Coturnix japonica: one gene and its partners. The main gene of each other region encodes a partner of the protein of the gene in region 2 in a complex. Links are inferred from orthologs where the notes say so. Each region holds a gene or a part of one and is shown on either strand. Other genes may lie near its edges.

Region 1 (3,873 bases), on a different chromosome or scaffold from region 2:
GGGCACGTCCCAATCTTGGCACGCTTGTGGCTGTGCTCCTCCCCAGCTCCAGAGGCTGCACGGAGACACGGGTCCCCAGGGAGAGCTGGCACCAACCAGGCTGGCTTTTCAGCATTGCCTTAATCCCTGTGCAGAGGTGTGGCTGCTGTCTTGAGGTTTGGAGGGTTGGGAAGCAGTCCCCAACTTTTCGTGTCAGGATACCCCATCCTTTCAATCAGAAACCTAAGCAGTGCTTGGCCCCCTTCTCTCCCCCTTCCAAAATCCAGTGTGGTCACACATCCTGTGATGTGAGCAGGAGCAGCCTCCCAGTGCTGCCTTCTGGGACCCTGGGAGGAACAGGGCTGTGCTCCCTGCTGCTGCTGTCGTGGGAAGCGAGTGCTCCTGATGGAAACTCTGAGCTCAGCGCTGCCTGGCGCCCACCCAGCAGCCCATGGGAACCACTGCTCACACACTCACAGGTCAGCCCGGCTGGTACAGGGTATGGCACGGCATTGCACACACCCCCGTGTCCCCCTCCATGGGGTACAGTGCCACAGACCCCCCAGGCACTCCCATACTGGCAGCTCAGCCTTTCCCCCTTTTAATGAGGTTCATCCATAAACCACATCTGTCAGAGTCAAGGAAAAGCTCAGCCGCCAGCCGAGTGGCACGAGCTGCTGCAGGGCTCCAGCGGGTGGCAGCGAGGCCAGGCTCTGCGGCGGGGCCAGTCCTGGGCGGAGGAGCAGGGCTGGCTGCTGCAGGCGGCCCAAGGAATGTCTGATCCCTTACTGCACTCCCTCCATCATCTTCAGGAACTCTGCAAGAGAGCGGCGTTATCAGACCCAGCTGTGCCACACACGCAGCCCAAAGGGGCTGAGCAAGCTGCAGGGTGAGGTCCTGCCGCTCACCATCGAAGTCAATGCGACCATCATTGTTCTTGTCTGAATCCTTCATGAGATCTTCTATTTCCTCCTCGGTGACGTGCTCCCCGGTGGCCCTGAGAATCTCACCCAGCTCTTCGATGTCGATGAATCCATCAGCGTTCCTGTGGGAGAGGAAGGGCAGGATACGGCCCCGCTCACCACCACGGACGGGTGTCACCAGGCGCTGCCCCACTCACTTGTCAAAGATGCGGAAGCAGTTGGCCAGCTCCTCCTCTGACTTGCCCTTGGCGTCCTCTTTCATCTGGCGCACCATCATCACCAGGAACTCCTCGAAGTCGATGGTGCCGCTGCCTGTGGGGAGGGACCGTGATGTGGGTCAGGCTGAGCACTCCAGACACCCACCACCCCCATGGAGCCCACTCACCATCCTCGTCCACCTCCTCGATGATGGCGTCCAGCTCCTCCTTGGTGGGGTTTTGGCCCAGCATCCTCATCACTGTGCCCAACTCCTTGGTGCTGATGTCCCCACCACCGTCCGCATCAAACATATCGAAGGCAGCTTTGAACTCTGCAGGGAAGAGTGGTCAGTGCTGGGACACGGGCATTGGGACGGGCTCTGTGTTGGGATGGGGCCCTGTCCCCTCCCTGCTCACCAGCAATCATCTCTTCGCTGAGGAAGGCGCGGGCCTCCGCCTGCTGGTCTGTCTGTAAGGCACAGGGAGAAGGGGTCAGCTCCCACCCCATGCTGTGTGTCAGCACAGCCCCTGCCCAGGGTCAGCAGCGTATGGGGCTCTGCAGCAGCGTCTGGCACAGTGCAAAGCCTCAGCCTCCCTGGTGCAGCTGCAAAGCCTTCGTCCAGCTCAGCCCTGCAGCACGTGGCTGTTCCCTGAGTGACCCAAGGCCCCGGGCAGCCATGCAGCTCAACTGCCCTGAGCCCCATGCAGCCGCCCCCCGGTGGTCCATGACGCAGAGGCCGCCATGCTGCCTTGGCATCCCAAGCACCCGACACTATTTTTGGACTCTCCTCGACTCCCCTTATAGGGAGCAGAGCTCAGCGGGCACCTGTTTGCCCTGGATCGAGTTTCTCCTGGAGGCGCGGGCTGTCTGGGGCCGCAGAGGTGTCGCATGACCCAGCGCTCGGCTTTCAGCGCCTTCACACAGCCCAGCTCCAGCTCTGATCGCCCCATGCACCCATTAATTACCCCCAGCCAGCCGCACACTCCCTCTTTGGGGCACATCTTATAGGGGTACACATCCCATAGGGGGACATACGCCATGGGGAACGTATCCCACTGCCCCTACATCCATGCTACCTCCTGCCATAGCCAGCCTGAAGGGATCATCCCTCTGCCATCGCCCCATAGAGGTGCCTGGCAGCCCCACACCGCGGTGCCCAACACCTCCGGCCCAACCACAGCTCAACCCAGCACCACTGGAGCTCTTACCATTGACGCCATCTTTGCTGCTCTCTTCCTGCAGGGAGTCAGCACCTCCTGCACCAGCAGCCCCCGCACACTCCCTGGCTCCCCAATTTGTAGTGTCCCCGTGCCCCCAGCCGTTGGCCCCCAGCCCCAGCAGCCTATCAGCTCCCTGGTGGAAATCCGGCCCCGCTCATTGGCAACGGGCTCATTTTACCTAATTTAGCCAAAGCGTTATTGGCCAAGAGCAGGGGATTAAACGTGGGTCTGAAGCCGGGATAGAAATTCAAGCCCTGCAGGGAGGGACGCAGCATCTTGGCAGGAGTGCGGCTCCTTCATCTACACCTCCTTGTTCCAGGACAGCTCAGCATGGAGGGGGTTAAAAATAGCCCCAAAGAGCAGCATCCCCAACACCAGGACTGGGCTTCCCCCATGCCAGGCATTAGGGACAGGGCTGGGTAGTGCTGCCTGAACCTCTGCTAACCCAGGTGCCGCGGCTTGGGACAAGCAGGCAGCACTGGGGCCACGTCCCATCCCTTACCCCACAGCACCCCAGTTACTCTGGCTGTGCCCAAACCATCAGTCCCTCCTTTCACTCCTTTCTGTCCTAGAGAGGTCAAGGCGAAGCTGCAGCCCTCAGACCATCACTGTGAGCTGCAGGTGGGTGAGGAGCGTGGCCCTGCAGTGGGTCCTGGCACTGCTGTGGGTTCCCACTCTGCTGGCAGCCACTACCAGAAATGGCACGGCTGCTCCGTGACTTGGGGAGTGGGAACGATGCCCGTGGCCTCCTCAAAGGCTGCGGCTCTGCCAGGTCCGTGGCCCTGGGTCTGGCTGGCCAAGTGGCCCACAGCCTGCAGCTCTCCAAAAGGGTTTTGTGGCTGCAGAAGGGCTGTCGGTCCCTCGGGACCCTCTGCTGGGGCAGCTCTGCTGGCACCCCATGGATGGGGCAGCACAGCACAGCAAGGAGCAAGGACAGAGTGATGGCAGCAGCTGGACCATTCCTCGATATTAATAGACATTCCCAAGAAAGCAGCGAGGACAGAGCGGGGATGGTGCTAAATAAGGGCGGTGAGTGCCAGGCAGCGGCCATGGCTGCAGCCCAGGAGCAGGAGCGTGTGGCGAGGCTGGGGATGGCAGGGTGCCGGCTGAGGGTGCCGGGTGCCGGGATGTGGCGGTGTTGGGGCGCTGCGCTGTTGGGGTACCGAGGTGTCAGGGTGCCGGGGCACCGGAGGTTGGGGACCATCATGGAGCGGTGCCCGGGGATCGGTCACGGGCTGTGCGTGCACAGACGGAGCCGGACCGCGCCGAGCCGCGCTGCGCCGTGCCGGGACGTGACAGCCCCGCCGCGATCCGGGTTCCCAGCGGAGGCGGAGCCGCGCAGGGAGGATCCCGGGACGAGCAGCGGCGGAGCGGCCATCGCTCGGCACCGCCCGGAGCGGCCCGGCACAGCGCGGTACGGTACGGAGAGCAGCGCCCACAGCGGCAGCGGGGCTGAGCGGGGGGAGCGGGGTTGAGGGTGGGCGCGGGTCGGGGGGGCCGGAGGGAGCCGGCCGGGAGCGGGGCCGTCCCGATGCGGGGTCTCGCGCTGCCCC
Region 2 (2,236 bases):
GTGCGGGGGTAGGCTGGGGTCAGCATCATCCTGAGCTTCCCATAAGTCCCCATGAGTCCCCTTTGCTCAGAGCTGCTGGTATTTTGGACATGGAGAGCTCCCATCTTCTCCTTTGCCCCGAACCCATGTTGATCTCCCTCCTGCTGCTTTCCAGAGTGCTATGCTCCAGCTTGCTGTCACTGAAATAGAAAAAGAAGCAGCTGCTAAAGAAGTGGAAAAGCAAAACTACCTGGCAGAGCATTGCCCTCCTCTGTCCCTCCCAGGATCCATGCAGGAACTTCAGGTAAGAGCTGCTTTAGCCCTTTCAGAAAGTATTAGGCTCCACTACTCAGCCTGCTGCATTTACATTGTCCTTCCCATCTTGACCATTTCCTGTCCCTGGGGGCCTCTCTTCACCATGGAGGCAGAGACAGGGACTGGCACCTCTGGGGTGTGTTGGGTGGTGACTGGCAGTACAAGGATATGAGGGCAGCATTTGTGTGAAGGTGGGTGCACAAAGACCAGAAGCTGGGTTGCAAAATACCTTTCATAGTCTGCAGTTGTCTGGTATTGAGTGGTGGTCTGATCCTTCTTCAGCCTTTGGGATTAAGAGAGGTATAGGGGTCTTTCAGAGATAGAGGAGAAGGAAGTGGTCAGGAGAGAGGAATTTCCTGGCGTGCTCTATTATTCAACATCCGTCTACTTTTCCTCCCAGGAACTGTGCAAAAAGCTTCATGCCAAGATAGATTCAGTGGATGAGGAAAGGTATGACACAGAGGTGAAGCTACAGAAGACTAACAAGGAGGTGAGCATGCACTGGAGCATCTGGCTCATCCTTTGTTCCTCTCCATGCTGCTTGTGCATGGTCTCTCTCATGAAACTCACGCCCTGCTCTTTCTGCCCACTTCTCTCTTGCCAACAGCTGGAGGACCTGAGCCAGAAGCTGTTTGACCTGAGGGGCAAGTTCAAGAGGCCACCCCTGCGGAGGGTCCGTGTGTCAGCTGATGCCATGCTGAGGGCTCTGCTGGGCTCCAAGCACAAAGTCAACATGGACCTCCGGGCCAACCTGAAGCAAGTCAAGAAGGAGGACACAGAGAAGGTACCACTTTCACTCCCATTAAGGCATAAGCTTCCAACTTTTGGGGATGACATCTCCCTGCAGGCAGACCATGAGCTTATCTCAGTAATGTCCTTCCTGCCTCATGTTTTCTCCTCCAACTCTCATGTAGTTGTAAACACGGAGTCCAGCCCTGAAAAACATACAGCAGGGGTGAAACTGGGAGTCCCTAGCTAAGTTTTCCAGGGGAGGTGAAGTGTTGAGCATTTGAAGTAAGGTTCCCATAGGTGGATGGGTAAAAGGGCACTGTTTGGGTGGGTCAGTACCCCATGGGTTCACCTCGTCATGCACACTTATCCCTTCTGCAGGAGAAGGACCTCCGTGATGTGGGTGACTGGAGGAAGAACATTGAGGAGAAATCCGGCATGGAGGGCAGGAAGAAGATGTTTGAGGCTGGCGAGTCCTAAGCACTGGTCTCTCCACTCTTGCCATTTCCACCCTCTTCCATCCCCTCCTGAGCATGGCCACAGCTGTGAGCATGGCCACGTCCCTGCCCTGAACCTCAACACGTCCTCACCATGCATTGAACCCACTGACTGGGTGCTGTTTCTCTGGTTTTGTGAAGAGCTGCAGTCTGAAAGCAGCAGTGTAAATAAAGCTTTCATGGGAGAGGGGGATGTGGCCTGCTGTGGTGGGGCTGAGGGTGCTTAGGGCTGTGGGAACACACTAAGGATACCCATCTCCATTGGCAGGCTGCTTGGGGGGGGGTTTCCTTGCCTTCCTCTCTCTTGGCCTCCATCTTGTCATGGGGTGGAAAGGCCTCTCTTTTAAGCTGGAGATCCATTCTCTGACTCATAGCCTGTGTCTCCCATCACAGGAGCTACTGCACTTCAGGAGCTACCAGGGTGAACAGAGTGGGGGGATGGCGTTTGGGGGGTGGTAAGGAACCATCTGCCAGAGGAAGGAAATGGGTGAGGTCATGCCACAGTGCTGTCGGCTGCTCTACCTCCTCCTGCTTCTGCTTCTTTTTTGGGCAGGAGTCTGTGGGTCAGGAGGTGGCTCCGACTGGTCATTGCATCAGGGTTTGTGCCCATCATGCTGTTCTGTGTCTCCTCTCCACATCCTTCACCTGGCCCAGAGCAGGGAGCACCTTTCTGCCTTCTCTCTCTGGACTGAGACCTGCTGCAAAGGTCACAGTCT
Region 3 (4,191 bases), on a different chromosome or scaffold from region 2:
TTCTGCCTCTATTCCCCTCATCCTGTTTTCCTTCACCCTGAATATTCATGTAAATTCTTTGGTCAGTGTATCACCTCAGTGCAATGGGGACATGCCACAGACAGGTTATGGTGCATGAGGAGCAGCAGGCTGCAGTCACCGTCATTCCCTGAACCTGGGCACTGGAACTGGAAGCAAACTGAGGCAGATGGGAGCAGCTGGAAGAAATGGTCCCTGCAGCCGCCCAGAGCTGGATGAGTTGAGCTGGCAGACTGCTCCCAAGTCCTACCCAGCTCATCTACCCACTCCTACCCCTGCCATCCACCGGTGGGAGCTTATCAATTAGCAGCAATTAATGACAATTGATGAGGAGAGCAAAGAGGAATCCACCAGAACCTCCTGGAGTGAATTTCTTTCGGATCCCCTTGGAGCACACCGCCATGCCATGGGCTTTGTCAGTGCCCCAGCGCTGCATCCACCTGTCCCTTCAGTAACATCCCTTACAATTACATGCTCCTCCCACGCTGTCTCTGACACCCCCACACCCACTCCCACCGTGTTTGGGTTGAAGCAGAACCCCTCAGCCCAGCAGTACTCTGTCTTGGAGGCGAGGCCGATGGTTTTCCACCCAAAAAGCAGTGATTTGGCAAACAACAACTTGGAAAGCAGGGAAAGTGCTTTATCTTAGCAGGAACTGGGAAGGGAGCAGCACTGAGCTCCCTGTGGAGCCTTTGTGGGGTGAGAAGCAAAAGCAGCAGGAAGAACCCCAAGCCCTGAGCAGGCATCATTTGGGCAGCTCAGCCGATGGCCACAGTCCATTGGGTAACCTGACCCCCTGGCAGCGTTCGCTATTAATAAGCCCTGATGAGGGAGGTGCCGGAGATAAAGATGAGCCCTGTGATTGTTCCCAGGCCTTTGGTATGCGGCCCCGCAGCCTGTTATTCTGACACTTGTCCCTGGCAACACTCTGCACCGCTCAACAGAACTGAAAAATGCTCCTGAAATAGCTTTGTGCCTGCACACCCTTATCTAGACATGAGTGGGTGAGACAAAGGCCCACTGGGTTCTGCGGCTGCACCGAGGGAATTCGACATGGATATAATGTTGGTATATACCCCTGTAGGTTTGCTGCCATCAATATACGCAGCAAATAACAAATCCTTACTTCCAAGGCTTTTCTAACTACTGCATGTTGGCTTTGTACAGCACTATGGATGTGGAGCTGTGCTGGATGGAACCGAACCACACAGCGATGCTTTTACTACACGGCTTTTCCCAAGCTGTTTATTGTGCCCCTGGTCACAGACACAGTTCACAGCTTTCTCCTTTTTTCTCCTCTGCCTCCAGCCTGGGAATGGTTTGTCCTGCTGCGCTCTGGGAAGGCAGACACCCAGCACACAGGATTTTGCTTTTTCTGCTCTTTTCTCCATCCCATATTTCCATTTGAAGTCAGGCACGAAAAGTTTCAGATCTTATTTATTTATTTTGCCAGATATTTTCCTACAGTTAAAATCTCGGGAACAGACTCATGAAGCAGCTATCAATTACAGCCATGTTCTGCCTCTTCTCCTTTTGCTTTTGCGCTGGCAGCTCCCTGTCAGAGCCCACCAACTTATTCCTCAGGTCAAGGACACTGCTTGGGCTATCAGATGGAGGAGGCTCGGGTTGAAACCTACAGGCTTCAGCTAGAGATGACCTTCACTGTGGATTTTTGCTCACTTTGGGGTGGAAAGGCACCCCAGGCTTTCTTCATAATTAATGCATGAAGTCCCTAAACAGTACAGCAAGGACCTGCTCCATGAGGGAACATAACTAGCTAAAAAGCTTCATTATACGGGCTGGATTTCCACTGATCTTACAGGGCGCACTCTTGTCCCTTCCTCATGCTCCTCGGGGCACTCAGCACGTCGTCATGCGCTTCCCAGCCCATCCCTCACATGTTGTCCGGATCCCGGGAGGGGTCACAGCTATAAGGGCTGACCAGGGAACAGGGAGAGCTGCCAACATCTCGTTTCCCTCCATTTTGTTTAACTAAGCAAAGTCCTTTATTCCCTCTGAACCTCTTGGAGTTGTCATTGCAGGACGTATTTTTCAACCCGGTCAACTCTATGTTAAAAACAACTAAAAAGAGTCACCCTTCAGTTCTTACGGTGTATTTTAACTCCGGGCACACAGCAGCGATTCACACAGAATCTATTTCCATCCCCATCACACCCGCATATCGCTCTGTCTAAATTACAGAATGATGCGCTGAGCTTATTATGGACCGGAGCGTTCCGGGTGCGCGGGGCAGCGCTGCGCGCAGCTGCCGGATGCTCCGCATTCCCAGAGAGCCCGAGTCCCAGCCCGGATTCCTGCGGGCAGCGGAGGGACCAGGCAGAAACACGGCACAAAGCAGAGAGTTGAAAAGTCTCATCGAAAAACACTCAGCTGAGGAAGGGGGGATTTAAGCAACGGCGCTTATGATTTTAAAGCTCCGGTAGCGACAGGGTGAGGTTGAACTCTCGCTAATCCCCTTTCAGCCGTGCAAATCAATCATTCTGTAACCCACGCGAATCACGTTCGCTCCGTGGGACGCGGTGCCGTGCCGGGATGTGCCCGCAGCCGGCAGCCGCCGCTTCCACCCCGCCGTGTTCGGACACGGCAGCGCCGGGACGTTCACGCAGACGAGGGGACTCGACTCCAGCCGAGCCGCCCGCCGGCGTCCCGTAACCCGGCCCCGGTGCCGGCAGCTCCTCGTCCCCTTCCTCCCCAGCATCCCGGCCCCGGGCGGGCACTCACCGCCGCCTTATAGATGTCATCCATGTCTGGGCAGGGAGAGCGAAGGGCCGGGGGGCGTCACTGACACGCTGTGCCGCCGCCGCCCCGCCGGCCCCACTGATATAGGGGGCAGCGGCCGGTGACGGGATGCGCCAGCCCACCACGGCCCGGCCCCGCACAGCGCCTCGCCGCGTGCCCGGGCTGCGTGGCACCGTGCCGCATCGCCACGGGCCGCTTGGCCGCGCTGAATAACGCAGGTCAGACGGAGCCCGACCGCTGCCCCGGGGGTCGGGGACCACGAAGTTGGAGGAGCCGGGGGAAACGCGCGGCACCGGGCAGGGGCAAACCGGGAGCATCCAACCGGGAGCATCCCCCGAGCATTGAGGGTCCGGCCGGGGCTGCGAACGGCTCCGGGTTGCTGCCAGGCGCTGCTCGCTGGGCTGGATTCCCGTCCTCCTGGAAGCGGCGAGTTGCGGCCCGGCCCCGCGCGGATGGAGCAGCCCACGATCGGAGCCGGCGGCGCTTCGACCCCAGCGACAAGCGGCTGTTCGGGGCAGGGAGATGCACCAACACCGGAGCGGCGCGGGCGGGCAGCGCTCCTGGGGGTGCAGCGCTCCCTCTGGTGGACTCGGTGTTGCTGGCAGCACAGCCGCACGGATGGGGGCAGCTCTGGGCTTCAACTCCGCAAATAAAAGCCATTGTCGGCTGAAGAAATCAGGCTGCGAGCCGGAATTTGGCCGAACCCGCTGAGCACCCGGCAGCGGCGGCCGGAGCCACGGTGGGTTTGTGCACCCGCCCAATGATGTGCAGCAGAGGCTGCAATGGAGCAATGTCTGCAATGTCTGCGGGCACCGCCGGGCTGCGCCGACCTTTGGGACGGGGATTGTTCAGTGCTTCGGTGACACAGCGGGGGCACAAAGGCCGCTGCATCCCCGCAGCCCGGCTGACAGCACCAGCGCCCAGAAACTTGGTGCCCATGTAGCCTGCACAGCGCTGCACTGCACGGCTCAGTACTACACTGCACAGTGCTGCGTTAGCACTACACTGCACGGCTCCGTACTGCTCAGCACGGCGCCGTGTTGCATTACTGTGCTGCACCGCATTACTGTGCTGCACCGCATTACTGTGCTGCACCGCTTTACTGTGCTGCACCGCTTACTGTGCTGCACCGCATTACTGTGCTGCCACCGCATTACTGTGCTGCACCGCATTACTGATGCTGCACTTTCGCTTTACTGTGCTGCGCACCGCTTTAACTGTGCTGCACCGCATTACTGTGCTTGCATCCGAGCAATTAGCTCGTGCCTTGCACCGCTTTTCCTGTGCTGCATCCGTCAATTAACTGTGCTGCACCGCATTACTGTGCTGCACTGCTTTACTGTGCTGCACCGCATTACTGTGCTGCACCGCATTACTGTGCTGCACTGCTTTTACTGGCTGAGCCGCATTACT

Evidence for each region.
Region 1: the proteins of TNNI2 (region 2) and TNNC2 are in contact, whole or in part, in a crystal structure (PDB 1A2X), measured with the Oryctolagus cuniculus proteins. The link is inferred for Coturnix japonica from reciprocal best matches to the Homo sapiens genes TNNI2 and TNNC2. Residues at the interface, in NP_001076252.1 of Oryctolagus cuniculus: Glu5, Asn8, Arg9, Ile11, Thr12, Arg14, Arg15, Gln16, His17, Leu18, Lys19, Ser20, Val21, Met22, Leu23, Ile25, Ala26, Glu29, Leu30, Glu33; in NP_001076114.1 of Oryctolagus cuniculus: Ser13, Glu15, Met16, Ala18, Glu19, Ala22, Lys91, Leu96, Glu98, Cys99, Arg101, Ile102, Phe103, Arg105, Ile119, Phe120, Ala122, Ser123, Glu125, His126, Val127, Glu131, Ser134, Leu135, Asp138, Phe152, Met155, Met156, Val159, Gln160.
Region 3: the proteins of TNNI2 (region 2) and TNNC1 are in contact, whole or in part, in an NMR structure (PDB 2MKP), measured with the Homo sapiens proteins. The link is inferred for Coturnix japonica from reciprocal best matches to the Homo sapiens genes TNNI2 and TNNC1. Residues at the interface, in NP_001139301.1 of Homo sapiens: Arg116, Met117, Ser118, Ala119, Asp120, Ala121, Met122, Leu123, Ala125, Leu126, Leu127, Lys130, His131, Lys132; in NP_003271.1 of Homo sapiens: Asn18, Glu19, Phe20, Ala22, Ala23, Ile26, Val44, Met45, Met47, Leu48, Gln50, Pro52, Glu56, Phe77, Met80, Met81, Cys84, Met85, Lys86, Asp87.

What each region holds. Positions count from the first base shown.
Region 1 is NC_029535.1:9,485,689-9,489,561, forward strand, and holds TNNC2 (troponin C, skeletal muscle), read right to left. Parts: upstream 2,414-3,873; 5' UTR 2,321-2,413; coding exon 2,309-2,320; intron 1,569-2,308; coding exon 1,517-1,568; intron 1,432-1,516; coding exon 1,288-1,431; intron 1,215-1,287; coding exon 1,100-1,214; intron 1,025-1,099; coding exon 888-1,024; intron 797-887; coding exon 765-796; 3' UTR 565-764; downstream 1-564. UniProt on the Homo sapiens protein: Troponin is the central regulatory protein of striated muscle contraction. Tn consists of three components: Tn-I which is the inhibitor of actomyosin ATPase, Tn-T which contains the binding site for tropomyosin and Tn-C.
Region 2 is NC_029520.1:10,463,718-10,465,953, forward strand, and holds the end of TNNI2 (troponin I, fast skeletal muscle), read left to right. Parts: intron 1-154; coding exon 155-283; intron 284-694; coding exon 695-784; intron 785-901; coding exon 902-1,078; intron 1,079-1,404; coding exon 1,405-1,503; 3' UTR 1,504-1,711; downstream 1,712-2,236. UniProt on the Homo sapiens protein: Troponin I is the inhibitory subunit of troponin, the thin filament regulatory complex which confers calcium-sensitivity to striated muscle actomyosin ATPase activity.
Region 3 is NC_029527.1:240,691-244,881, forward strand, and holds the start of TNNC1 (troponin C, slow skeletal and cardiac muscles), read right to left. Parts: upstream 2,867-4,191; 5' UTR 2,785-2,866; coding exon 2,761-2,784; intron 1-2,760. UniProt on the Homo sapiens protein: Troponin is the central regulatory protein of striated muscle contraction. Tn consists of three components: Tn-I which is the inhibitor of actomyosin ATPase, Tn-T which contains the binding site for tropomyosin and Tn-C.